Mytilus edulis: one gene and its partners. The protein of the gene in region 1 purifies or fractionates together with the protein of each later gene. This does not show direct contact. Links are inferred from orthologs where the notes say so. Each region holds a gene or a part of one and is shown in the gene's direction. Other genes may lie near its edges.

Region 1 (8,491 bases):
AAATATAACATTAAAATGACAATATTACATGACAGAACTACAATACAAATAAATGGGAGAAAATATACATGTAGGACAGAGAAACACACGAATAATAGCTTACAAAAGGTACCAGGTTTAAAATTTAATACGCCAGACATGCGTTACATCCGCACAAGTCAAACCAGTGACGGTGAGATGAAAAAAGTTTGAAAGCCAAAACAAGTATACAAAGTTGAAGAGCACTGAGGACAAAAAGTTCCAAAAAGTTGTGACCATGCAATACGGCTAGGGTTTTCTGTCTGGGATAAGTACATCCTTATTATTTAGAATAATTCATTCTTTTGCAAAAAGAAAATTTTATAAAATTACTATATAATAGATATACATGATAAAACTGAAGTGGTGACTAACTATGGAATAAAAAAGGATACATTACATAAAACAACCTAAATACCAGCACATAAAAATAAACAGCCGAGTTAGCCAAAGCCAGTTCAACGCACAAAGTGACGTCACATTTGAATTTCTAAAACCATTTCCAAAAATAAGATAGAATTAGGATAGAATTCAAGATTAGATTTGTAAGACTGATAAAATTTATGAGAATTACAATACTAATTAATATCAATTATGGTAGTAATTAGATAATTAATTGTATTATCTAGCTATGGTGGTGTTTCTTCTGAATCAAACGGTAAACCAAACATATCGTATAAATTTCGTTGATCCAAACTAAAATAACATACCATTTTAATCTGGTGTAAGAAAACAAATCATAACTGAAAGGGTTATTTAGATTAATTGCCTTTCTTTCCCTCAATAATGTGTATGCTTAGAGGAAGATGAACCGAGGAGACATGCATATACATTTAAAATATATTCAGTAAACAGGTAGTCGACGTCATGTAAGAGTTATAACTCATATATAACAAGACTCTGACTTCTTTTCAATCATTTTTATACGCCCGTCAAAATTTTGACGGGACGTATTATGGTATACAAATGTCCCGTGTCCGTCCGTCTGTCTGTCCGTCCGTCTGTCTGTCCGTCCGTCCGTCCGTCCGTCCGTCTGTCTGTCCGGCGTAAACATGTCGCACCGTAACTTGAGAACGACTTATCTAAATTTCATGAAACTTAATATAGTTGTTTTTTTATGATGGTCAAATGATCTGTATACTTTTTGGTGAAAATAAGATTTAAACTTTTTGAGTTACGGCACTTTGTAACTAAAACAGGGGTGTGTTTTTTTTTCACATGTCGCACCGTATCTCAAAAACGATTCTTGATTAGTGCTTAAAACTTTACACACTTCTTAGTTATATTAATCTTAATATCTGTATACTTTTTGGTGATGATTCAAAATTTCATTTTTGAGTTATTGAGTATTTTGTAAAAAAGGGGGAGGGTTTTTTTTTCATGTCGTGCCGTATCTCAAAAACGATTTATGATTATTGCTTAAAACTTTACACACTTCTTTGTTATATTAATCTAAAGATCTGTATACTTTTTGGTTATGACTCAAAATTTTATTTTTGAGTTATTGAGTATTTTGTAAAAAAGGGGAGGTTTTTTTTAACATGTCGCGCCGTATCTCAAAAACAATTTATGATTATTGCTTGAAACTGTACACACTTCTTTGTTATATTAATCTATTTTGAGTTATTGAGTATTTTGTAAAAAAGGGGGAGGGTTTTTTACATGTCGCGCCGTATCTCAAAAACGATTTATGATTATTGCTTCAAACTTTACACACTTCTTTGTTATATTGATCTAAAGATCTGTATACTTTTTGGTGATGATTCAAAATTTCATTTTTGAGTTATTGAGTATTTTGTAAAAAAGGGGGAGGGGGTTTTTACATACGATTTATGATTATTGCTTAAAACTTTACACACTTCTTTGTTATATTAATCTAAAGATAGTATACTTTTTGGTGATGACTCAAAATTTTATTTTTGAGTTATTGAGTATTTTGTAAAAAAGGGGAGGGTTTTTTTTACATGTCGCGCCGTATCTCAAAAACAATTTATGATTATTGCTTGAAACTGTACACACTTCTTTGTTATATTAATCTAAAGATCTGTATACTTTTTGGTTTTGGGGGGGGGGGGGGGGGTTCACATGTCCCGCCGTGTCTCAAAAGCAATAAATGGTAATTGCTTAAAACTTTCTCAGAAACTATTTACGATTATTGCATAAAACTTCCACACAAGACGTCGGGCGTATCATGCGCTCATGGCGCAGCTGTTTATTGTTTTTAATGTTCCTATCTGTCGATTATACTTTTCATAAATATTTTAGGCAAAAATGCAAACAAATTGTAAAAATATCATTAAATAAATAAGCAACAACTCCTATATTTAAAGGAATCGTCAGACAATTTCAGACAGTGGAATACTGACTTATTTGTTTATCATGTCATGTTGAGAACTTTTGTTGTTTAAGTTTTCCGAGGCTATACGAGAGAGGCGACTGATGTCAAAGGTGTTCATTTAAAAAGTCTTTAAAACCAAGAAAAGTTTTTACGTCAGACAAAAAAAAAACGAAAAAGACAATCAACTACAGACCTATATAGCTAGCGACACTAACACCATCAAACACCTGGGTGATCACGTGTTCTCTTGAGGAGTTAGCTCAACATGTGACATTCGTTTTTAAAAAATACGTTGTTAAACTTGTAATTTAGTTATATCTTGAAGTGATAAGGCATGCATGCACACCTCACAGTAGCGGATAGATACCCCACTCGATCTAACTCTAAGACATCACCAAATTAGTAAACCATCGGTAATGAGAAAATTTAATTCTGAAACTTGACCGTGGTTGAAATATTGAAATTTAAACCTTTGTCCCGACAAAGAATAGAAAAGACTGAACATTACCTGTGTTATAATTTATATTCATTCTTTGAAGAAATCTGACATAGAAAAAAAATCCCACAAAGAACAACACTGAAGAAAGATCAGCCCCTTTGAAAAAAACTAATCTATGGGTGATAGCAAGTGCTCACTCTGGGAGATAAATCTCGCACCTACTTTAATGAAAAATAATAATCATAGACATTCATAAGTATGCATATCATTTTTTTTTTCAGAAATGCTGAGATAGAACTGTACAGGTTGGGTGAAATTTTCATGACTTTGGGAGGGGTCTTGAATTGATTTTCTTTTTTTTTAAGATGGGGACTTGATAAAATATTTAAAAAAAACGAAATATGTCCGGCCAGGAATGCCCTTAATGAAAGACAATCACCAGTGCAGACCCTTAGCATGAAGCTTATAATATATTTGACTGATATTTGTCTTTATTTAACATAAAATCATCATAAAATTCTAATCTAGATGAACAGTATTATCGGGTGCATACAATTCAGAAACCACGGATTTGGGTTTACAAACTGATCAATTACAGGGTCGTGTTTAAAAAAAAAAAAGAAGGATTTTTGGAGTTTAAAATTTTTGATTATTTTGTGAAAATAAAAAAAATAAAAAATTTCCAAGCTTTGGAATTTTAAGATTTATAAACTTTTAATGCAATTTTAAGATATTTGATGAAACCAGAGACGAAACCAAGGATTTGTTGAATAAGGCAATTAAATCCTTGATGAAACTTTAAAGACTTAATTAAGTGTCAAGGCAAAGTACTAAACTTTTAATTCTAAAATCAGTGCCGGATCCAGAGGGGGGCGTAGAGGGCGAACACCCCCCTTTACTCTGGCTTTTTTTGTTTTTGTTTTGGTAATATGATTAATCAGACTAGACGTCGTGAACTTTGTCATTTCCCGTGTACTGTAGTATTTAATTTTTATGCGACCATTCTTTACTTATAAAGATATTTATCGCTGGAATTTACTGATTGTCAGAGTCATGTAATTCTCTATGGTGGAGTTGAACAGTGTGTCGAAAAAAAAACGTCGATTAGTCATTTTGAAATTCAAATTACAGTAACACATTGCTTAGGCTGTGGATGACAATCATGACACCTTCAAAGCGACACAGGATTGAGCAAGAACGTATTAACTTCTAATTCTATTTCACTATTCCACCAAACAATCTAGAGACATTTACACTCACATGAAAAAAAGTTCCAAGGCAATATTATTTACCTACGGAAACATGTTTAACCCAAAACGCCCCAGCCAATTTTAAAATACCATAGCTGAATAATGATCCCCAGTCAGTGTAAGCTCTAGATAGTCTATATTCAAAGTCTAAGGTACGAACCATTTGATTTGAGGAGACAGTCTAAGATATTTGTGTAGAAAAAAAATAACTCTGATTTTTGCCTTGAACAAAAATTCTGGCTGTATCTGGATTGACAACAATAATCATGTCCACTGTTTTTGCTAAAAAAAAATAAAAAATTTCCAACAGAATTATTTAGCATTAAATGAACATGATGAATAAAAACGGGCATTTCTTTGGGGGCAGGGGTTTGCATGTCTGAACGGAATGTCTGTTTCGCCGAACTGATATATTAAATACTTTTTTCAAGATCAGACTGCAACCTGCCTGATGGGTGTGGCCTTTATGTCTCCATTTGTCGACCGTCATTCATAAATTCGTTGTCATTTCAGACTCATTCTTAGCCTTTGGTTGATTTGGAACCCCTCACTTCCCTTAATTTTGTTGGGTGAAACATATTAACCAAACTTTGGATAAGAAATTGCTTGTTTGTCTTTTTTAACTTGTACCGGCCGTATTGTAAATTTCATTGAATACCCCGGCGTATATCTTGTTTACAACAAGAAATCTGTGAAGTTACACGCCAGTAACCGTTTGAAAAGTACTTATTACACTTATTTTATGTTTTTAGCCCCAAAAAGGTCCCAAAAATTTTTCGCCTCGCTCCGTTCGGCCATCTTTCAAAACTTCGGCCCCCTTTCCAAAATCCTGGATCCGCCCCTGAAAATCATAATCAAAAATCAAAAAAATCAAAAGCGAAGTAATAAAAAATTAACGTCAAGTTTTGTACTTTTAAAGTTTCATCACGGATTTGTAATGTTTGACTAAACTGTGACCGGCCTTCACTTCGCAGGTCTTTTCACCCGTTTTTTATTTTAAAATCATAATTAAAATTTAAAAAAATCAAACTTTAAAAAAGCGAAATAATAAAAACTATACGTCAAAAGAGGGTATCTGTGAAGTGGAGGGTTTAGTCAGGGACTTTCTATACTAGTATAGAAAGTCCCTGGTTTAGTCAAACATTTCAAAACCTACATGTACAACTTTTTGAGTACGGAAATTCGATCAAAACTGATCCCGTCACCGAGCAGAATTGTATACATAAATTTAGCGGGAAATAGAAATATACACAAATCATGGCCGCAACAGCTACACAAAATGCAATCACATTGAAAGGATCGACAGAAATAGTTTCCGAGTTCTTTTGTAAATGTTTCTTTTAATAACAACAATTTGCATTGTTTTTACACAATGTCTATCTTTGAACTTTCAGGAACTAATGTGTTTAACCCCAGCCCCTTTTTTTTTCAGAACGCATGCCAAGTTAAATTATTATTATTGAAGTATGACTGTATGAAGTTTAAATGCAATGCCATTGGGTAGTTCGATAATCATTTATCGTATAAAAATACACATGCACCCTCTATGAAGGTCATCACGTCAAAAACAAAAGGTCAGAATTCACACCACACAGTCACACTCACACAATTATTTTGAGTAAAAACAATTTCTGGTGGCGAAATTATTCAAACACTGTAGTCTAAATAATCATGATAATTATCCAAAATATTACAATGTCTTAAAAGGTTACACATCATAGTATGACATATGACAGCTCATTTGTTTGACGGCCCATTGTTCAGAAAAATGTTAAAAATGTACATATAGACTCGTCCACTGGAAAACCCATTCATGAGTTGTCATGCGTTTTAGTTTTTGGTATCCAAATAGGAGAATTTGTTTTATCCATTAAACAAGAAAATTCAAAATTGTGACTTACTTATCTTGACCTTTTCATCCACTGTGTATCATTGGTACGCGCGTGATCAATTTTGACCTGACACAGTAAGAAAAATCTTTTGTTTCGTTTACATAATATTAATGTGTACTTCAAATACTTGTCAGAGCAGTTGGGGTTAGTCTCGCCCGATTTGATTCTGTATTCATTGAAACTCTTTTTTTGATAGGAGGCCACTGTCATGTGCGTAATAAGTATACCTGTTTCAATAATTGGCATTGACATCTTTCTTACATATGTTATTTTAAATATTTTATTCAGATAAGAAGCGTGTATGGTGTAAAGCGGACCAAATAAATCCTTCTGTACAGTGGACAGTTTATCCCCGTACACAAAAACTTTATTTTCATGTGTTTTTGATAAAAATTGCTAACGTCAAAACTGCTGACAGAACTTGTTTTGAAATGATCAATTTTCAAATTAAAAAAAAATGACAATTATTATCATCCAGTGATTAAAAAGCACCATTATTGATTATTTGACGTGTGAAGAAATATACTATAATAGTGAATAGTCGTAATCCAATAGGTTACAGACAGTTGTAGACTTCAAATACAACCTTAAAAATTACGATAGTGCAAGTCCATCAAATTTGTTGCATCAATGCAACATTATTTTATCTGATAATGGGCAAATAATAACTCAAACTTTTTAAAGTTATTTTTTATTGTTAAATATTTCACAAACAAATCCCCCCAACATTCTGTAAAGGTTTCTGGAATTTTAATTATTTTATTACAACCCATTTAGATATGTAACAGACACTGGTGCACTTTTAAATGGAAGATGTTGATTGGAAAAAACACAAAATCATATTTCCACAAATATGCAATTTTTTCGTAAATCCACGAAAATTGATACTTTCGAAAATAAAAGAATGCACAGTACACTGAATGGATAAATTTGATCTATGACACAATGTAATAAAATTAATAAAATAAATAGTGGGGTGAGATGTGAAACAAAATCAGAAAGAAAACTTTAACCTTTGACTGTGACTCATGTTAAACAAAATGCTGTTAAAATAAAATAAAGTACATCAAGTTCATGTACACAGATACAAAAATAATTTTGTCATGTTTGTTGAAAGGAAAAGAAATAATTTTGTTCATTGTATTTTCTTTATTTGAATTCTGATTTGGATTACAATAGTCCTAGCCTTACATAATGTACATTAAACTTTTATGGCAACAAGGCATGTATTGGTAGATTTAATGTGTAGTCATTATACATGTATTCTTCATTGTAATGCTGCATTCACACATAATTTGAATTTGATTCGCATTAACTAATTCCCATTAGTTTGATACGCATTCAAATCGTTTTACGTCCAAATCTAAATTCGAATTGCAATGGGGGTCAAAATTCACTTTACTGCCTGAATGACGTTAACTTTTAATTCGTATTAACAAAAACGCATTTCTAATGCGAATTGGATAATGCGATTCAACCAATTCGAATCAATTGGAATTATAATTTAAAGGAGAATGTATGAACGCAGTTACGTATCAAATTCATTTGAATTAAATGAACATGTCAACGAGGCGTATACTTCTTATGTGACTCATTTTGAGGCAAATTTTGTATTAGGTTTATTGGGTTGTAGTAAAATGTAGAAAAGGTTTATTGGCCTGTAGTAAAATGTAGAAATTCTTACAGCCCCAAATAAATTAAATTTTATAAGCATGGGTTACTGGACCTGTGTCCAAGCGTAAACTACAATGTAAAGACAAGAAAATTATTCACTCCCTTATACAATGTACATGCTAAATGATAATACTGTAACAAAATACAGATTCCTCAACATGTCAAATATACATGTACAAATGTAAAGGCCCCCTTATATAATGTAAGAAAAGCAACGTTTTACATCATACATATCATTGCATATAGGAAGATGTGGTATGAGTGCTAATGAGACAACTCTCCATCCAAGTCACAATTTATAAAATAAACAATTATAGGTCAAGGTACAGTCTTCAACACGGAGCCTTGGCTCAAACAGAACAGCAAGCTATAAAGGGCCGCAGTATCAGTACGTATAATTCTCAATAATATTTTTTCTAGCTTTTGGGATCAACAGTATTCTGTATCAAAGAGGAATATATCCACCTGAGACGTTTACCCGACAACAAAAGTATGGACTCACTCTCCTTGTCACTACAGATGATGCACTAAAAAATTATCTGAATGAAGTTATTTCACAAGTGAAAGGTTTGTCAACTTATCTTAATGTCTGTAACCTTCTGCTGTTGTCTGTTATATGTTCATGTTGTTGTCTCTTTGACACATTCCCTATTTCCATTCTCAATTTTATGACATAAAACTATAACTGATACACATTCATATGCCTATAAAAGGCTCACAATAGTTTCTGAATTTACAGTATATGATGGTGATTCACTTTGTTATACTGGTACAATGTACATAGCATATTCACGAATTGTACACAGAAAGAGGGAGGGACTTTTGTTTCTATTTTAAGCGCTTCTTATATTACAATTGTGTGCTATGTGAACAATTGTTA
Region 2 (8,739 bases), on another chromosome or scaffold:
TTCTGTTACTTGAAGCAAATTCTATTTCTGTAGATTTACACAATATTGTTATACTTGTTTTATTTCACATTGAAGATTAGACAAAAAGGGATACTCCTTTGATTTTTTCATTTCATGTCAGTCAGGTCCCTTTATATGAAACTTGAAACCACTTCTCTGCCATATTGATATTTTATAACAACTCTGCCCATGACCCATATAATTTGATATTCATTCTTTAACCATATATTATAGTAAGCTAGTTTTTTTTTATTTTACACTAATCCACAATCTTTCATGTTAAATTTTGTCTCCATTTAAGTTTATGCCATTGAACCATCATGGTATTAAACACAATCCCAAGTAATTGTGCTGTTACAGTGGGTCACCATATATTCAACTTGGGTGGCATTCCAGTTATTGAAATTTGTGTCAGATTGGATAATGAACTAGACCTTTAGGAATTGATCTTATAATTTAATATGGAGCCATCGTATGCGACCCCTACCCGGTAACAAAAATAAACATGTCAAGCAGCAATATTTATCACCAGAGATTACAAGTCAAAAGAGGATGGATAAGTCTCCAAAATATTTGCCAAACTGGAACTACAACAAGAACGAACAAAACGTTCAAGCCAAAGTTAGTATTTATGTACAAAGAAGTTGAGGGGCTGATTCGCGCTATTGAACCAGACGAATTCCTCTTAAAAACATGTCCGAAGAGAACCATAACTGCCGAGGAATTCAAAGAATACCACGAAACAATTATTGTGGAAAAGCAAGCAAAGAATAACTCTTACTGTGAGTGTATTGACATTCCGCCAAGTAAAACACCGTACAATATTCAAACTCACTTTAGGGCCTTAATAATATGGTACAAGTCAAATGGGCACCTGGTTAAATCGACATCTAGTCAAATCGGCACCTATTTAAAGCCAATTAGGCATCCAATAATAAATATAAATAATTCAACCTTTAAAAATGTGAATAAACATGATAAAATTAGGTTAATATTTCTATCAAACCCCCTTCCTTATCTACCTTTTCTTGGGTAAATACTGTAAAATTTCTGGACAACCCATTCCTTATTTTTACTGTTTTTGCTTAAAATACTGTTAAAATATATATTAAACAAATCTTACATGGGTGCCGAATTGACTATATCAAGTGCCGGTTTAACCAGGTGCCAATTTGACTAGATGCCGATTTGACTATACCGGGTGCCGAATTGACCAGGTGCCGATTTGACTAGAATTCCGTAAGACAGTGATCGCACCGATCAGGGCGAACGATCCCACCCCGCCAATAAAACCGTTGTATTAAAGCCAGCATCGATATCGACAATTTATGCACATGTCAATGCACATGTCATACAGATACAGTCTGTTACAGACTCTACTGTTGTAACTTTGTAAACAAAGATTGAGTAGGATTTCCGGTACTTATTTCCAATAGAAAGTGGACCAACAGGGACAATGTAATTTGTAAATAGCCAAGAGAAATCTTTCTGTGTTGCCCGACACTGCGTAAAGTTTTCGCGCGGAACCATTAACATTCAGCAATGAATCCGGTTCCTTACCTGGAAGAAGAAGAAGAAGACACATTATATTTTCTTATAAAAAAGGCAGTGGTTTGTAAAAAGAAAAGACTATCAAGTTTTCCCCGATTAATTATAGATTTTTAATGTTTTAACAATGTTTTAGTTTTACTTCACATAATCAATAAAGTTATAAAAATAGATTTATGAGTATCTTAACAACATTGGTTGGTACACTTCCATCTTTTTGGTAATAAGAAGGACCGGAGGTATGCAAACTGGTTCCCGGTTGATTACTACACAAAAATCATAATAAAAGCAAATTCCAGTTTAAATGTAAAAAGTAGATACGAAACCAAGAGCGGTAGACGGAGAAATGTAATGGAAAGTAAATACGAACCAAGCGCGGTAGGCAGAGAAATGTAATGGAAGTTCAGTTCACTAGTATAGAAACATGCCGCTGAAAGCGTCATTTTTCAAAAACTAAATTCCTTCATGGTTATATCTTGCCATACGTTTATATTGGTTTGTAAGGTGATTACTCAAAATCGTTATTTGAAAATCCTGTTTGTGAGATGTAGATTCATTTCAATACAGAAATTTCGTCTATATATTTCACAAGTGTATAACACAGAGAAGCTCTGAAGGTTCATTACTCCCATTTTGTTTGGGTGTGAACCATCGATGTTTACAGCAATATCAAGGAATAAGGTGATGATGGTAGAAAGAACTATGGGCGTCATGTGGCAAATATTACATGCATATCGGACAATGAGTTGTCAATCTGTATGAAAAGTTTTCCAATACAACCATATTATTGAGAAAGAATGTTTACATGCTATACTCTCGTACTAGTATTACAGGGTTCTTGTGGCGTTCACCTTAGACACACATCGTTTTAACGATGTTTAAAAAAAGACAGAACCAATTTAATGTCATATTTCCCTATTTTTTAAATATAACTAAAATTCTTTTATCTGACAAGAATATCCCTATTTAGCGAACAAGTAATTTATTCTTTTTTCGGTTATTGAATACCAAGAAAGAAAATAAATCCCTAAATTAATTTGAAACTTTGATACTCTAAAGTTTCCCAGCAAAATATTCACATCCCCTGGGGATAATTAGTGTTCGTCCAGTGGCATATATAACAATTGTGATGACGAATTCCTTCCTTTGTTTGAGAACAATCTTATTGAAATATAAATCTGTGATTTTCCTAGGTCCACAGCTTCAATGAACCAAAGCAAAAGTTATACATCGACCTGTATTTAAATCAAATTGGTTCTCTTCTTCTTTTGGTATACAACTGTAGTCTATCGACATTCGATGATTACATACTGTTGGCATACGTTGGCTAGTCTATTTACAACACTTTTACCCCTATTTATTCAAAATATATGTTTTTTTCTTATGTTCAATGTATACACGTATATATTTTAAATTGCGCTATAGTTCCGTAACTTTATATCCAGTCGTATAAACGAATCGTCGGCAAGTGCGTACATTTTTTTAAATCAATATTTCTGGTCTGTTCCAATCTGTCCTTCACTATTGACAATGACTATATATTACATTTTCCCAAATTCACCCTTGGAAAAAATATTTAAATAGATTTTAATTTCATCAAATCTTATTTTTTGGGTATTATTTATATATTATGAATTATATTCTTTACACCAGAAATGTTATTTATAAACAAGCGTATGAGTTTAGTAATGACAAGTAAGACAGAGTTGTATATTATACATCTGATAGTTCAAAATGGAAAGTTATAAGTTATAAGTTATCAGCCGTGTACACTGATCAATACCTGCAGAAGTGAAACGATGCATGAACTTGCAAGCCCGACAGGAAATCGCTTGAATACCTGGACGTGTCACCTCACACCCCTCACAATACCTTTGGAAGTAATACCTTTAGCCATGCTGGTGATCAGATAAGGGAAGATCAAAATATATTTGAAAAAAGTTTATTACTTTAAAGAATTATGAACAAATTAGATTTTCGAAAACAATTTTCACGGAACACTTATTTATGATTTCAACTTTGACTTTTCACCTAATTCCAATATCAACAGTTTAAAAACAACAGACCATGGTAATTTAAAAACAGTAAGAATATTTTCCGTATCAAGTTAGTTAGTCGTATTAAACAACCGTACGATTGACAAGATATCGACACGCAATTACGACTACATCGGTTACTGTAGTTTTGTTTCTTTGTGGTTTATAGACATATCGTTTTTATTCATCGGGAAAGAAGACAAGATGGCGGATCTCGGAGAATTGATACTCTAAATTTAAAATCGATGGTGATCGCTTATCTAGCGGAATAAAACTTTAATATCTATGAATTTGAACATTTTTATACAGAATGAACATAATATCAATTTTTGATTTTTTTGCGAAGTTTCCCTTTAAGGAAAAAAGAGTAGACAACTCATGAAAGTGTCTGTAATAACACATGCTTGTTATTTTTCTCTATTAACTTATTTAAGTTAGACCCTTGACTGTTTAATAAATCTAACGAAACAATAACGCAACATAGCTGTAGACACAATTATTATTGGTACGCTCATAGTTAATTGGTTCCTAACCCAAAATAGCATTTCTGCATTTAGATGTCCAACATAACTATAACTTTTTTATTAACATTACATGTACGTTTCAACGTAATCATAGCCAGTGTGTTAAACTTATAGTGATCCTTTAAATAAACAAACTCATTATCATATAGTAAGATTTTTTAATGTTGTCTTAACTGGACCTAGGATAATTCCTTATGGGATTCTGAGTCTGAAGCAGATTTTTGTCACCTTGGAATCCCTTATCATTTGCTTGTCAAGCCCCATCAAAATTAATCAAGTCTACTCAAGAAAATATTTGCCAACTACATCACCTCCTTTCACACCATTCTGTAAACCAGAAGATGATAGCGTTTCTTTGTTTACATTAAAAATGTAAATGACGTCACAACTGAAATCCCTAACAGGACCAAAATCAGAAACATTCGGTATTTCCGCTTCTTTTTTAACATGTTTAACAGATTTTGAAGTTAAAATATGTTTGAATTAAAAAAATAATTCATACAGATTTCGTCCCCTTTCACAGGTAATGCCTGCCTCATATTACCTGATGATAGGGTTTCTTTGTTTACATTGAAAATGACATCATAACTAAAAAGGACCAACAACGGAAACATTACGGTATTTCCGTTTCTTTTTTAACATTAAAATATATTGAAATTAAAAAAATAATTGATACGGACTTTGTCCCCTTTCTCAGGTAACGCCTGCCTCATATTATTCCCAGACTAGACTTCTAAATTATTATGTGAACAACCCCGAAAGTATAGAGTTTACTTGAAATTACTTCATTTAAACCATTTTTAGATGATAAAACAGCTAATTTAGGTCGGAGACGTCCTTTAAGAAACCATCCAATGACAAGACCGACTCCTATTCCTACAGCAACATATCCTGTTTGCTCTTTACTGAAAAATGATGTCATTTTTGCTATTTATTTTCAGCACATTTATTTTGCTCAATGTTACCTTTTTCCTCTAGTTTCAAGTAAAAATATGACTGTAATAAACACTAAAGTGATTGAGATCGTGTTTCCCTCGGAACATGCGGACTTTTCCCATCGCAATCGAAGATAAATTAGAGAAACCCGAAAGAAGGAAGTAGTAAAAATAAATAGTGGAGGAAAATGAATCTTTTTGATCATGTGCGGTTTTTGCACGAATCTGAGCTATTTCATGATCTTAAGCAGCTTGTACGTTTATTTAGAAAACTATGATAAAATTGTATCACCCTTAACAAGGCCAATAATGCCGTTAAACACAGGAACATGTTTCTATCAGTATCTATGAAAATGACAATGCGAAGATACATTGTATATAATTTATTTTGATATTCGACCTTCCCATTGATAGAAACAAATGCCTGTTTTCAATTGTCCAGTGTTCTCCCCAGGTGCCGCATCGCCTTCATAATATTTTCGTAGATCCTGCAGCGTCTTAATTGGCCGCTGTCCCTTAATCATACCTGTCAACCTCTGAAAATGAAAAGTCAGGTCATGACCTCCAATGAGAAAAAAAATCTCAGGTCATAACGCGTACGACATTTTGCGGGCTCAATTGAAGAACAAAAATATGTTTACATATAATTTATATAGTCAATATGTATATGAAACAGTTAGAACATGTATACAAGTTTATTTCAGACTATTGTTATATTCCATAGTAGCAGACTTGGCATTCTTTAAAAGAACTGCACTTGGTTTCAGTTCATAGCAATGCAAATGTGTATTCATTTTACAAGAAAGAAGAGCACACAGTGTATCCTTATTAAGATCAGCCCTACACTCTGTAGCTATTTTCTTTACTAAAGAAAATGGTATCGGGATCGTTCGCCCTGATTACATGTTCGCCCTAGGTTCGTTCGCACTGAGTTTGTTCGCCCTGGTATTCCGTTCGCCCTGAGTTCGTTCGCCCTATTCTCATAAATGATATGTATATGTTATATGTTTCATTAATAAAAGAAATGTATATTTATATATATTAAAATTTATGTTTATCTATAAATGATATGTATATGTTATATGTAATATGTTTCATTATAAAAGAAATGTATATTTATATATATTAAAATTTATGTTTATCTATTAAAGCTGAATACAGAATATTAATTAAATAAAATTCGTGGCTGCATTGTTACACTTTATTTTAGAATTACTTTTAATTACTGTTGATTGAATTTTGATTGCTGATTAGGTATAATTTGAAATCTTTGATATCACTGATTGTTATATGAATTGTCTTTGATGGATTAATAATGAAAATACAATTTTTCTCAAATAAAATAGTCAGCTTGGATGGGTAGAAACACTGATGTACAAATTGTTAGGCATGAAAGGGAAATTATTTTCGCAGCTTGGCTTCTTTGATCTCAAGTGTGTTTTGACAAATTTGTTATATATGGAAGTGGATTATGGAACCGGTGCATTATTCCATAAACTATGGAAGTGTACATGTGTATTTCTTGTGACAGAGAGGTCCGACCTCGTCAACATGCAGCATCATGTGACGTATGTGAGAAATGGTAGCATAGATTGTGTGGCACTGGTAAGTGTTTTAATTTATAAATATTAAATTTTGTTGCAACTTTCATCAGGAATTAAACAAGAATATATATATCTAGATATAGGAAGATGTGGTGTGAGTGCCAATGAGACAACTCCATCCAAATAGCATTTTATAAAAGTAAACCATTATAGGTCAATGTACGGCCTTCAGTATATACCCATATATATAATTAATGAACTAAAGTAACTATATTAAGATAAAAAAAGTCAAATATATATCTATATAACTACGTTAGTATGAATGTTTTCTCATATTTAGTATTATGTTCTAGTACAAGTAGATTTATATATATAAAAAATATCAATGTAATTTTATATTGATGTTTATATTGTTCACATGTGAATATATTTATAATATATAATTTGAATTTTAGGTATAACTTTTCAAGCTTACAAAGACGCCAGACATGGCAATGACCTACAGTTCATTTGCACACCATGTGAACAGATCAACTGGCCAGCACCAGAGCCAATAGTTGAGCCAGCACCAGAGGAGGTGTGCGAAGTGCAGTTCGGAATTGATCGATCTTGTTATAACTGTTACTGAATATTTTTATATTGTTAAAATGTATCAATAAAGTTAAATATATAAATAACTTAGTCTTTAGTTGTTTCATGTCAAATACTTTGTAGTCTTTGAAATCACAGAAACTTATCCTCGTAGCAGCAAGACAACATAATAACTTAGTACATTTAAAAATACAATGTAGTGCTGAAATTCCGAGACACTTATTTCCCAAAAGCAGCAACACGTAATACATCATAAATAAATATTCGGTGAATGTAAACAGTCTTCAACATATGCCATTACATACAAATAATTTAGTCTTCAGTTGTTTTACATTTAAATATTCGGCGAAATTGTAGACTGACTTCAACATATTCACTTAAAAACCCACAACACAACACTATAAAAAAAATAAAAATCGTAAATATTCGGCGAAATTGTAGACTGACTTCAACATATTCAATTAAATACACACAACACAACACTATAATAAAAAATATAAATCAGGGCGAACATACCCAGGGCGAACAGGTATCAGGGCGAACGGTCTCAGGGCGAAACGGAACTAGGGCGAACAGTAACTAGGGCGAACAAAAATCAGGGCGGACGGACCCGGATTCAAAGAAAATGCCCTCTCACTGTCTGCATTGCTGTTTGGCAAAACCAGTAATGTTTTAGCAAGTTTTGACAAAACAAAAAATCTTGGCTTGTTTTCAACTACCACTTTGTTATTTTCAACTGAAAGGGCCCTCTTTACTATTTGGGTGGTTTTAGTTTTTCCACAGGAATAACCTGAAGCTATTTCACAGCTCAGGTAAACAGTCCTACATTTTGACTTTTGGTTACATTGAAAAAGACCGATAAAACCGAAGGCCACATTACTTCTAAATAACGGAAACAATTCCGGTCAGAAATCCGGGTGAAACGGGAAATGTTAGAAATTCCCGGGACCCGCCGGGTAAAGAAAAACTCCCGGGTGAGAGGTGAAAATAACGGGTGTCACCCGCAAAAAACGGGTGAGTTGACAGGTATGCCTTAATACTTGATCCCACAGCATGTTAATTTTCACATTTTCATTATAAATGTTGGTTAAAATTGTCAAGTTGCTGATCACCGCTGAGAGGTCGGTCAGTGTTGCGCAATAACTGATAATTAGTGTTACCTGAGCCACGCTTATCTCAGCCTTATCGGACTATGTTATCATGTAATAGCGTAAATGATCATCAAGAAAATCTGTATTTTCAGAAGAGAATTAAAAAAATTAAAAACTTCAGTGCAGAAATTGAAGAAATAGATCGCAAATGCATTGTATTTACACATCGTGTGTGTGATTACTTGATCATTTAAATAACGAATATTTTCATTGGTCGAGAAGAAGAATCTATAAATACATGACCAATGAACGTATTGAATACACGTGATAAATTTGAATACACATTGCTAAAGATATTTACGATGAAAATTATGAATGAGAGTATTTGTAGTTGAAAAAATTAAAATAAACTTGGAATAAAGATAACGAGGAGTGATTTAAATTAATAGAAAGTGAAAAAATGTTGATTA
Region 3 (8,848 bases), on another chromosome or scaffold:
ATGTATTGCCTTTGTATTTATCACTGAATCCTCTTTAAAATTAAGACAAATATTTTATATAACCCAGTATTGCCCAGTATTACCCACTAAAACCTGGGTTTTCCCAGTATTTCCCACTGGGCTGGGCAATACTCATAAAACCCGGGTGTTTGCCAACCCTGTATTAAAGGTTACATTGGCATTTCTATACTAACACTTCTATACATGTATCTGGTTCTTTAACTTTCTCCGAATATCACATATATAATTCATTAAATATTAGCAGCCAGTGTAATTTACATGTAATATATTAATAACCATTCTATCCTATCTTTAATAATTCAATTGTAAATATGTGTTTTCTAGCTTGATGGAGTCAGATTCTCCAGTGGTTCAATATTGTTTGGTTGTTTATTTAACATGTTACACACAAATTTCAACTACTAATGACCATAGATAACACAACTATATGTACACATAACCAGTCTGTTAAATGCTTTTAAAAACTAAGTTTCAAATTGAAAACCTACTTGACAGTGTCATGTGCTGAGTGTAATTGGACATCCTGATATGACAGGGTTCGACACTAACGGTAGTCCGGTGCCCCCCTAAAATCTAGGAGGACTACCAAAACATGGTTAATCAGTAGTCCTGTGGACCACCTGGAAATTTGTATATGGTCTAGCTATTTCAATGCTAAAAATTGGCATAAAAGTCCTCCCAATTATGTTTACATTTTTCAAAGACAGTGATGGCATTTGGAAGAACTTAAATTTTATATTGTTATTATGAAAGCACTTTTAAGATCCAGATTAGTGATCAGAATCTTCACAGTGTTTGTAACACATGGGATTTTCAATGTAAAATGAAAATGTCTAATAACCAAAATGTGAAGAAACTGCAGATTAGACAGCAAAGGTCAGCAATAAAAACGTAGGTGTCAGAGAAAAAAATACTTCCCAAATTTGGAAAAAAAAATTATTACCCCTAAAAAAAGAAACAGGAAGAGGTAGTTTGAAAAAAAATCCAACAATATTTTTTGGTGGCTTTCTTATTAAAAAAAACCATATAATGCATGTCATTCAAAATGGTATTAAAGACATTTTGTTTTAATAATAATGATAATAATAATAATTCTTTATTTAAAGAGGGTTACACAGTTAGCTGTAATCTTCCCTGAGGCCCTCATGAAATACAATGAAATATAACAAACAATTACAAAATATCAAACAGACACACATACATGAATAATGAAATAAAAAATTGTTATGAAATATACAATTTTCAAAACAGGTAAAAGTTACAAATTCATATATGACATGTATAGTATTGGCATCAACAATATCATAAGTTTGAGTAAATGTGTGAAAATTATTATGCATATAAAAAATGCATAGCTTCTTAATGTTCCATCAAGTAATTTTTTTAAATCTTTTTTGAATGAGCTTGTACTTGAGGTTGATTTTTTCAGGGATATTGGTAAGTTATTCCATAAAATAGATCCTGAATATATAAAAGATTTCTTATAAAGCTCTGTTTTGGCTTTTGGAACTTGTTAATTTTTGCAAGAGGCATTTCTCAAACAATATTGGTTTATTTCTGGCATTTAAACTTTTCAGGGAGATATAAAGGGGCTTCATTCTTAAGGCATTTATGCATCAAAACTGATTTGTGGTATGAGATTCTGTTCTCTACTGTCATCCATTCAAGCTGTTTAAACAGTAGAGCTGGTGATGAAAGTGGATCAGCATCTAAAATAAGTCTTGCAGCCCTTTTCTGCAATTTTATTATTCTGACTAGCTCATTTTTAGCACAACCACTCCAAATAATACAACAATAATCTATCAGTGGGAGAATATAACCATTATAAAATAATAGCAACATATCCACTGAATTGCTTTCAACAGTGATGATGAAGTTGACCTCTAGTTCACAAACAAAGACATTAATATATTGTATCACTACAAGAAAAATCTTATAAACTGTTTGAAGAATTAATGAAAACTTTGACTTATTTTTATCCTTTTTTTCTAAATAATTCTGGAATAAAAGGTCAAATAACTCCACCTAACAAGGCCTTAGAAATTGTCTCAGATTGCAGATTTTGCATTTCATTTTTCAAAATTTTCTGACGGTAAAAGTTCAGGAGTAATAAAATTTATTCACTGAATGTCAACTTTATTTTATCTGAAAAAAAAACAAAATATTTTCAAAACTCGAATGAATATTTGTGTGCTTTTGAGGTGCTCAGATGGCAGGAAATTGCATCTTATTTCGAAAAATTTTCTTGGGGGGGCATGCCCCCAAACCCCCCTAGCTAGTTCGGGCCGCGTTGTGGCCCTCACCGGTGATGGAGGTGGACTACCAGGACTACCCAAAATTTTTCTTGGTAGTCCTGTGGACTACATCACCTCTAATGTTAGTGTCAAACCCTGGCATATGTAATATGATGTCAACAAAAACATTTCAGCTGTGAAACAAGTCTATTATAGTCGGCCCTGTCTAGCCGAATGGTAATATACAATGAAGTGACGAAAAACAAATAACGATCTATGGACACTAAACTAGAAGAAATTCAATCTAATTCAGTGTATAATAATCTGAGTTTTGTATTATCATACAGAATAATCTTACCTTAGGTGTCTGTCCCTTGACCTTTCCTGCACGAGCAAGAGAACCGTGAACTTTACCTGTTGATAAAAAAAAATATTTTTAAATAAAGTTCAGGTAGGAATAGTCTAAAAGATTTGTATTGGCATTGGAAAGAAAGGAAGAAGATTCAAACAAAGACTCATATTTGTTGTATTATGTAAATTAGACTGCTAGTTTTTTCAGATGAATTAGTGTTTCATATTTTTCGTGTCAGGACTTTTGAACTGCTGACTATATGGTATACAAGTAGTTTATGCTCAAAGTTGAAGGCTGTAAGGTTGCTAATAAATATTTGATGAAAAAGTGGCCAAATTAAAAAAAAATATTACCTCCAAGCATTCTGAGGTCAACATCAAGAGTTGAAAGTTCATCGACGCTAGTTAGCTGAAAATCATCTTGTAAGGGTTTTCCTCCAAACATAATAACCTGTTCTTCAACTGGAAATCCATCCTTTGCTAGTAAAAAGCTCTAAAATCATAAAATTACAGGTTCACTTAAAATAATTACAAATCTATTAAAATGTCATAAATATGTTAATGATACTTGATAGTGATCAATCTCATTTTTGTTTGTTTTAATCATGTAATTAGGTTCTTGTTGTCCTGTTCTTAGATTGTATGTTTTGTTTTGTATACCATTGGTCTTTGTTTTGTGCCTGGCATCTTCCACAGCTTTTTTCAATATATCTTTCTTCATATTTCATGACTTTCATGTCATAAGTTATCTGATCACTGAGGAAAATGTGGAAACCAGTTTACTCAGAGAGCAGACCAGTGGGTTCTCAAGTGGTAGAAACAGGATGCTCTTGTTGTGGCTTTATATATAGTGTAATAATAATAAAAGATGGCCTTGTACAAAAAGGGTTGATACATCATTTACATGTACATGTATGTGGTCAGCCCAAGCTTTACATTAATTTATAACGGTATAGGCAATATTTAATCTTTCTATTCAAATCTAAATGTTTCTTGTGAAAGTCGACATTTGTTTCGTTTTCACAATACTTTTCCACTTTTAATCTTGTTTAACTTAACTTATCTATTCCAGTTGAATGCAATTGTCTTGACATACCCTACAAATCCAGTCCACTAGTGTGGAGCAGACAGTGAGAATCACAGGCTATAATCCAACTGAACACCATGTATACATATCAAATTACATGCTAAGACTAAAACTTACAGCAATTTGAATAGATACATTTTGTATTAAAATAAACAGCAATTTTCATATTCTGACAGGTACAATTAAATCATATTTTTGAAACATTCAGTCTGCATGGTTAGCCACTAGTCCAATGCCCCAGACTAGTCAAATTTCATTGGGACTAATAAGTTTTTGCAACTTTGTTTGGCCCAATAAGAAAAATGTCAGAATGTTGGTCTTCGGAGTTGAAAACATTTCTGATGCAGACGGAACATTAACAATAATCTGGATGTAAATTTTAAAATCTTATTGTGACAAAAAACATCTTTTTTTTTAATTTCTCTATTCACCTTGATATCTGCAATGGTTTCTGTTCCTGACACCTCAAAGGTGTGGGTTTGGCTACCCCGTACAAAAAGCTGCATGTTTAACCTAGAGATAAAAATAAAATAAACATGATAATTATGTTTCAGTAGGTCGAGTTGTATTCTTCATACACTAAATGCATTTCAATATCAATGAGAACAATATTCCGTCAAAACTACATGTAGTCGTGTAGATGTGACAATTTTAATTATATAGTTTTCTACAATACTTTTGTAAACCTACATCATCATCATCACCAACCTGACCAATCGTCAATGCTGTTTTAACTTTTTTGTTTGTTTGTTTTTTTAATTATTTTTCCTCCGATCCTGTAGGATGAATTTTCACTATTTTTTTCATGAGTTATAAACGTATTTACACTTTTGGTATTTAGCTGTATTGTGCCTCTGAATGACCTTATATCACCTCCGAATAACCTTTTGACGTCAAGCAACAATAACCTTTTAGTTGTGACGTCAAATGTTTTGAATTATGATGTCAAATTTACGGGAACCTGTGTGATTTTATGTAATGGCGGACAAATTTGCAAACAAGTGTAAATACGTCTATTGATGAGATGCGTCACAAAATCCTCCAATTTTAAAGAAATTATTCATTTTTCTAATTTTGGCTGGACAAGTTGGAACAGATTTGAAACAGACTGATACCAGGTTTTAAGATTAATATGATTTTATGAAAAATTTGTTTAGTAGGAGTCATCTTTTGAAGACAGTAGCCAGTGATCTCTCTCCTTAGTCTTGGTACCAATTCTTTCTGATATGATGTGGAGCGATTATCTGATTTGGTCATACACTGAATAAGAAAATTTCTAGCACTAACTTCATATGATATGTGTTCCAAATTAATTATTAATATTATATATTTATGGATATCCCGTCTTCAGCATGGGTGAGATTTACAGTTTATCAACATATGAAAAGCTGGAGTGAAATTAGCCGAGCACATACCTGTCTGTTCGTCAAAAAGTGGTCTGAGGAACGTGCAATATTTTATCAACTTTTAATATAGTGAAAATACATTAAAATAGGACAATAATCATCTAACAAGACTTACACGTGCTGGTGCAATGCAAAATCAGTCCAAAAAGGAAGTATATTTGTACGCATGCGTGGAAATACTACCCCGAAATCTATGACGTAAAGCACAAACGACTAGCGCAGAGCGCTCTCATCTAAATCGAGAAGCAAAAATGTCTCAGCAACTGAGCCAAACCAAAGACCAAGAAACAACATACATCCCTTGTCTTCATCGCATTGGCGATAATGTTAAGAAGCACAAGCTTATTAGCCTTGAAAAGAAAACCGAAGTATGCTATTTACATAAATTGTCCTTTCAAAAATATATTATAACCATGATATAAATACGTAATACAAATAAATCTTATGAGGTCCAGAAAAGTTATAGATACCCCTCTCTCTGTAGACAATAAACATAGTTGAGGTTCATCAATACACTTTAACAAAATGACTGTGTTTACACCATGAAATTTTCTCTGAGTACAGACAAAACTGATTTGAAAAGTTTTTTAGCCTGGCAGCATCTATGGTCTAGCTGCGAATGAAGTTCTTTTGATGATTTTGATATTTGCGGACAGTAAATTATGCCAAAAAAAAATTTATAAGACAATAGAGCTACGTTTTCTCAGCTAGGCAGCACATAGATAGTGGGTCTCATTAGGGTCTAAGCGTGATGCGGGATTGCCGTTTTTTTTAATAAGCGTGACACGTGAAATTCTGTATTCTGTAGGTGTCGCTGTTGACACTGGATTGTCCCTCTTTTAATTGTTCAAGTCTCGCGTGTAAATATTTCACTCTGGTAAACAACTCACTTGTACTTTAAAATATATACTTTTAGGTGGCAACTGTCAATGACTGTGCTTAACATATTTTGACAAAAATCAGTGATATTGTTGGCTTTTTTCAAAACTACCTGTACCCTTTTTTATTGGGAAAATATGCGTAATTTTCATCAAATTGGGAAATTTAGATTAAACAATGAATTTGACTGAAACTTCAATTTACAGACCCGCTTTCAAGAGTCAAACCCTGTTTAAAAATAAGACTGCTTTTGTCAATGATGATACATAAATAGACCCTCAAATCTGCACATATAGTAATTTTAGGCTTGTAAAATGTATACACTAGTGTTTTTCAGTTTGTATTCATGCAAAATAACTACTGAGACTGCACTGTTTGGGAAAAAGTTGTCTTTTTGGGAATAATTTTAAGCCATTTTTTTTTCAAATTGGGATTCTTCTCCAGGGGAAAAAGCCTTTATTCTCCATTAATTTAAGGCAAACAATTACACTGAAAATTAAAAACATAATACATTTATTAATTAACATGAAAATTTAAAGGAAAAAAAAAAGAAATAATAATTAATATTTCATTAATCAAACCGGCGTGACTCGCAAATAAAGCCACCCAACAATCGCATTAGTGTTTCATTAGAGATGGAGACATTGTCGTTTTTTTCCATCATGACAATAAAAGTTCCAAATCAATATGCAACGATCCTGTGTTTAAGTATATCTCATGTATAAGTTTCTGTCTAGCCTCTTCATAATTTTCACAAAATAGTAAATAATGTAATTTTTTAGATGGTATCCGGATCTTAAAATTCTAATAATTTTTGCTGTTTTATGATCTGGATAATCAAATGTTGATTTTTTGCTGACAATCTGATGAAAATTGTAATAAAATCTTCCTGTATCACTATTATCCCATCTATGTTGCCACTTTTTCACTAAAATTCTTGCTGCTGTTTTAATATCTTGTTTAGTTACTGTAATATGAGCTTCTTTTTTAATTTGATTTGCCTCTTTAGCTGCATGTCCTGGGGTCCATTCAAAATTAATTTTTATTCCACGATGTTTTTGGATAGATTTAATAAGGGAGTTGGGTTGGCAAGAACCTTCTGTAAAAGCAACAACTGTTGCAGGAGATACTGTGTTAAGTTTGTTTAATATTACATTTTTTCCTGTGATTTCTTGTTTCTTTTAGTAGGCAGGACTTTGACACTCAAAAACATATCCATTATATTGTAGAGTCATTTAATTACTGATATGGTACAGAAACAAAGATGTTCTCTATTGTACATGTAACATGTAACCAGTAGGGCTTTTATATCTTAAAAATGTTTCATCCCAGTAAATCCTTTTTTTTCAGTTTTCAGAACTTTTTCAATCCAAGGTCGGTGGTTTTCTCAGTAAATGAAGATTATTGGACTCAACTTACATGATTTTGATACATTGTACATCTTTGGATTCACTTATTTGGAAAATTAAATAATAGTCCTTGCAGATTTTCATGACTGCAGAATTCAATGGAGTTGTCATGGTGAGACTCCTGCTGTATTTTATTAAAATATCTGTTTATTTATCTTGTAGGTTACTGTAGGGAGAGCGCCAGATGTCACAGTTTGTCTCTTGTCTAACATGATATCAAGATGTCATGCCATATTCAAATGTAATGACGAGGGACAGTGGACTGTGAGAGACAATAAGGTACGTAATAGCCACATACAATCTTATTTAATTCAATCCTTTGTCTGAAGTTATTGTTTGAGAAATAAATAAAGATGTTTTGATCATACATGTACATGTATATTGATTTATCCTGCAATTGGGTGTTGTACTATACAGATAAAGCCCTACAGATATTGCTATGCTGTATCTGTATACTATACAGATAATGCTTTAAAGCTCCGCCCACTGCCAGACTGAGTATTATATGAACCTGTGTGACCTCAGAATGTGTATTGCAGTTGCATTCCAATGACGTATCAATTGCGAATTAACGATTACTTTTATACGTTCTGTTTGTTTTCAAACATTTCTTTAGAGCAATAAGAAACACCAATTTTCTGATAACATACACACATGAACAGCAGTCTTTTCTACGATGACAACTATCGATTTCAAAACTTGAATGTGTATGATTGTGTAACAAAAACAACCATGTCAATTTCAGCATGCATGTTTAGTGAATGTCGAGTCTGAAGCATAGGACAACTCGTACACTCCTGTTTCAAATTGGACAATGTTTTGTTATTTGTTTTTACTGTTGAAATTAGTTGTTATGTTAAAATAGATAATTATTCACCTTGAGTGATGTATTATTGTTGACCATTCAAGATTCTTTCTTTGCGAACCCGTCTTCAGCTGAATGTGTGATTACTGTATTGTATTATTACACGGGCCTCAAGAGATTTCAAATTGAAAATAAATGCAAAACATGTGTTTTTGTGTCTTTCAAAACACAAATATATATACAGAATTAATAACTTGCCTCGAAACAGGTGTAATAGCTCGCTAAAAGCTCGCATACACCTTGTTTCCTAGCCTCGTACAAATACAGCTGATATTTAAAGGCACTAAACAGTTATTGTCTATGTATCAGTGAAGTGGAGACAACACAAGCAATGACAAGTACATTTATTTATAGGGCAGTTAAATCTTAAGGTCAGTTGTTCCCAGTCAACAAAATGTCTAAAGTAATCTGATCTAAGAACAAAATTTAAGTATAAAAAATGTATAAAGCATATCCTGATATCTTATAAGTCACCTGCCGAATAAGGTTCAACAATGAAAAACAAATATTGTTTTGTCTGAACTGTTATGGTCAGTTACATTGTAGAAACCCTTTCCGCCATTGATTTATTTTTTTGCGTACTTGATTCGCATAGG

Evidence for each region. Proteins that work in one complex are often made in the same cells at the same time.
Region 2: the proteins of mitotic spindle assembly checkpoint protein MAD2A-like (region 1) and anaphase-promoting complex subunit 7-like purify together in Homo sapiens (affinity purification with mass spectrometry; 3 studies listed by BioGRID and IntAct, with this or other methods). This does not show direct contact. The link is inferred for Mytilus edulis from reciprocal best matches to the Homo sapiens genes MAD2L1 and ANAPC7.
Region 3: the proteins of mitotic spindle assembly checkpoint protein MAD2A-like (region 1) and E3 ubiquitin-protein ligase RNF8-like purify together in Homo sapiens (co-immunoprecipitation; 3 studies listed by BioGRID and IntAct, with this or other methods). This does not show direct contact. The link is inferred for Mytilus edulis from reciprocal best matches to the Homo sapiens genes MAD2L1 and RNF8.

What each region holds. Positions count from the first base shown.
Region 1 is NC_092352.1:71,758,148-71,766,638, reverse strand, and holds the start of mitotic spindle assembly checkpoint protein MAD2A-like, read left to right. Parts: upstream 1-5,253; 5' UTR 5,254-5,302; coding exon 5,303-5,372; intron 5,373-8,031; coding exon 8,032-8,178; intron 8,179-8,491. UniProt on the Homo sapiens protein: Component of the spindle-assembly checkpoint that prevents the onset of anaphase until all chromosomes are properly aligned at the metaphase plate.
Region 2 is NC_092349.1:56,636,627-56,645,365, forward strand, and holds the start of anaphase-promoting complex subunit 7-like, read left to right. Parts: upstream 1-5,169; 5' UTR 5,170-5,231; coding exon 5,232-5,297; intron 5,298-8,739. Other genes in the region: peptidyl-tRNA hydrolase 2, mitochondrial-like, read right to left, coding at 4,893-5,030. UniProt on the Homo sapiens protein: Component of the anaphase promoting complex/cyclosome (APC/C), a cell cycle-regulated E3 ubiquitin ligase that controls progression through mitosis and the G1 phase of the cell cycle.
Region 3 is NC_092346.1:50,164,999-50,173,846, forward strand, and holds the start of E3 ubiquitin-protein ligase RNF8-like, read left to right. Parts: upstream 1-5,278; 5' UTR 5,279-5,350; coding exon 5,351-5,467; intron 5,468-7,549; coding exon 7,550-7,666; intron 7,667-8,848. Other genes in the region: ubiquitin-like FUBI-ribosomal protein eS30 fusion protein, read right to left, coding at 2,614-2,669, 2,961-3,099, 4,125-4,206, 5,215-5,267. UniProt on the Homo sapiens protein: E3 ubiquitin-protein ligase that plays a key role in DNA damage signaling via 2 distinct roles: by mediating the 'Lys-63'-linked ubiquitination of histones H2A and H2AX and promoting the recruitment of DNA repair proteins at double-strand breaks (DSBs) sites, and by catalyzing 'Lys-48'-linked ubiquitination to remove target proteins from DNA damage sites.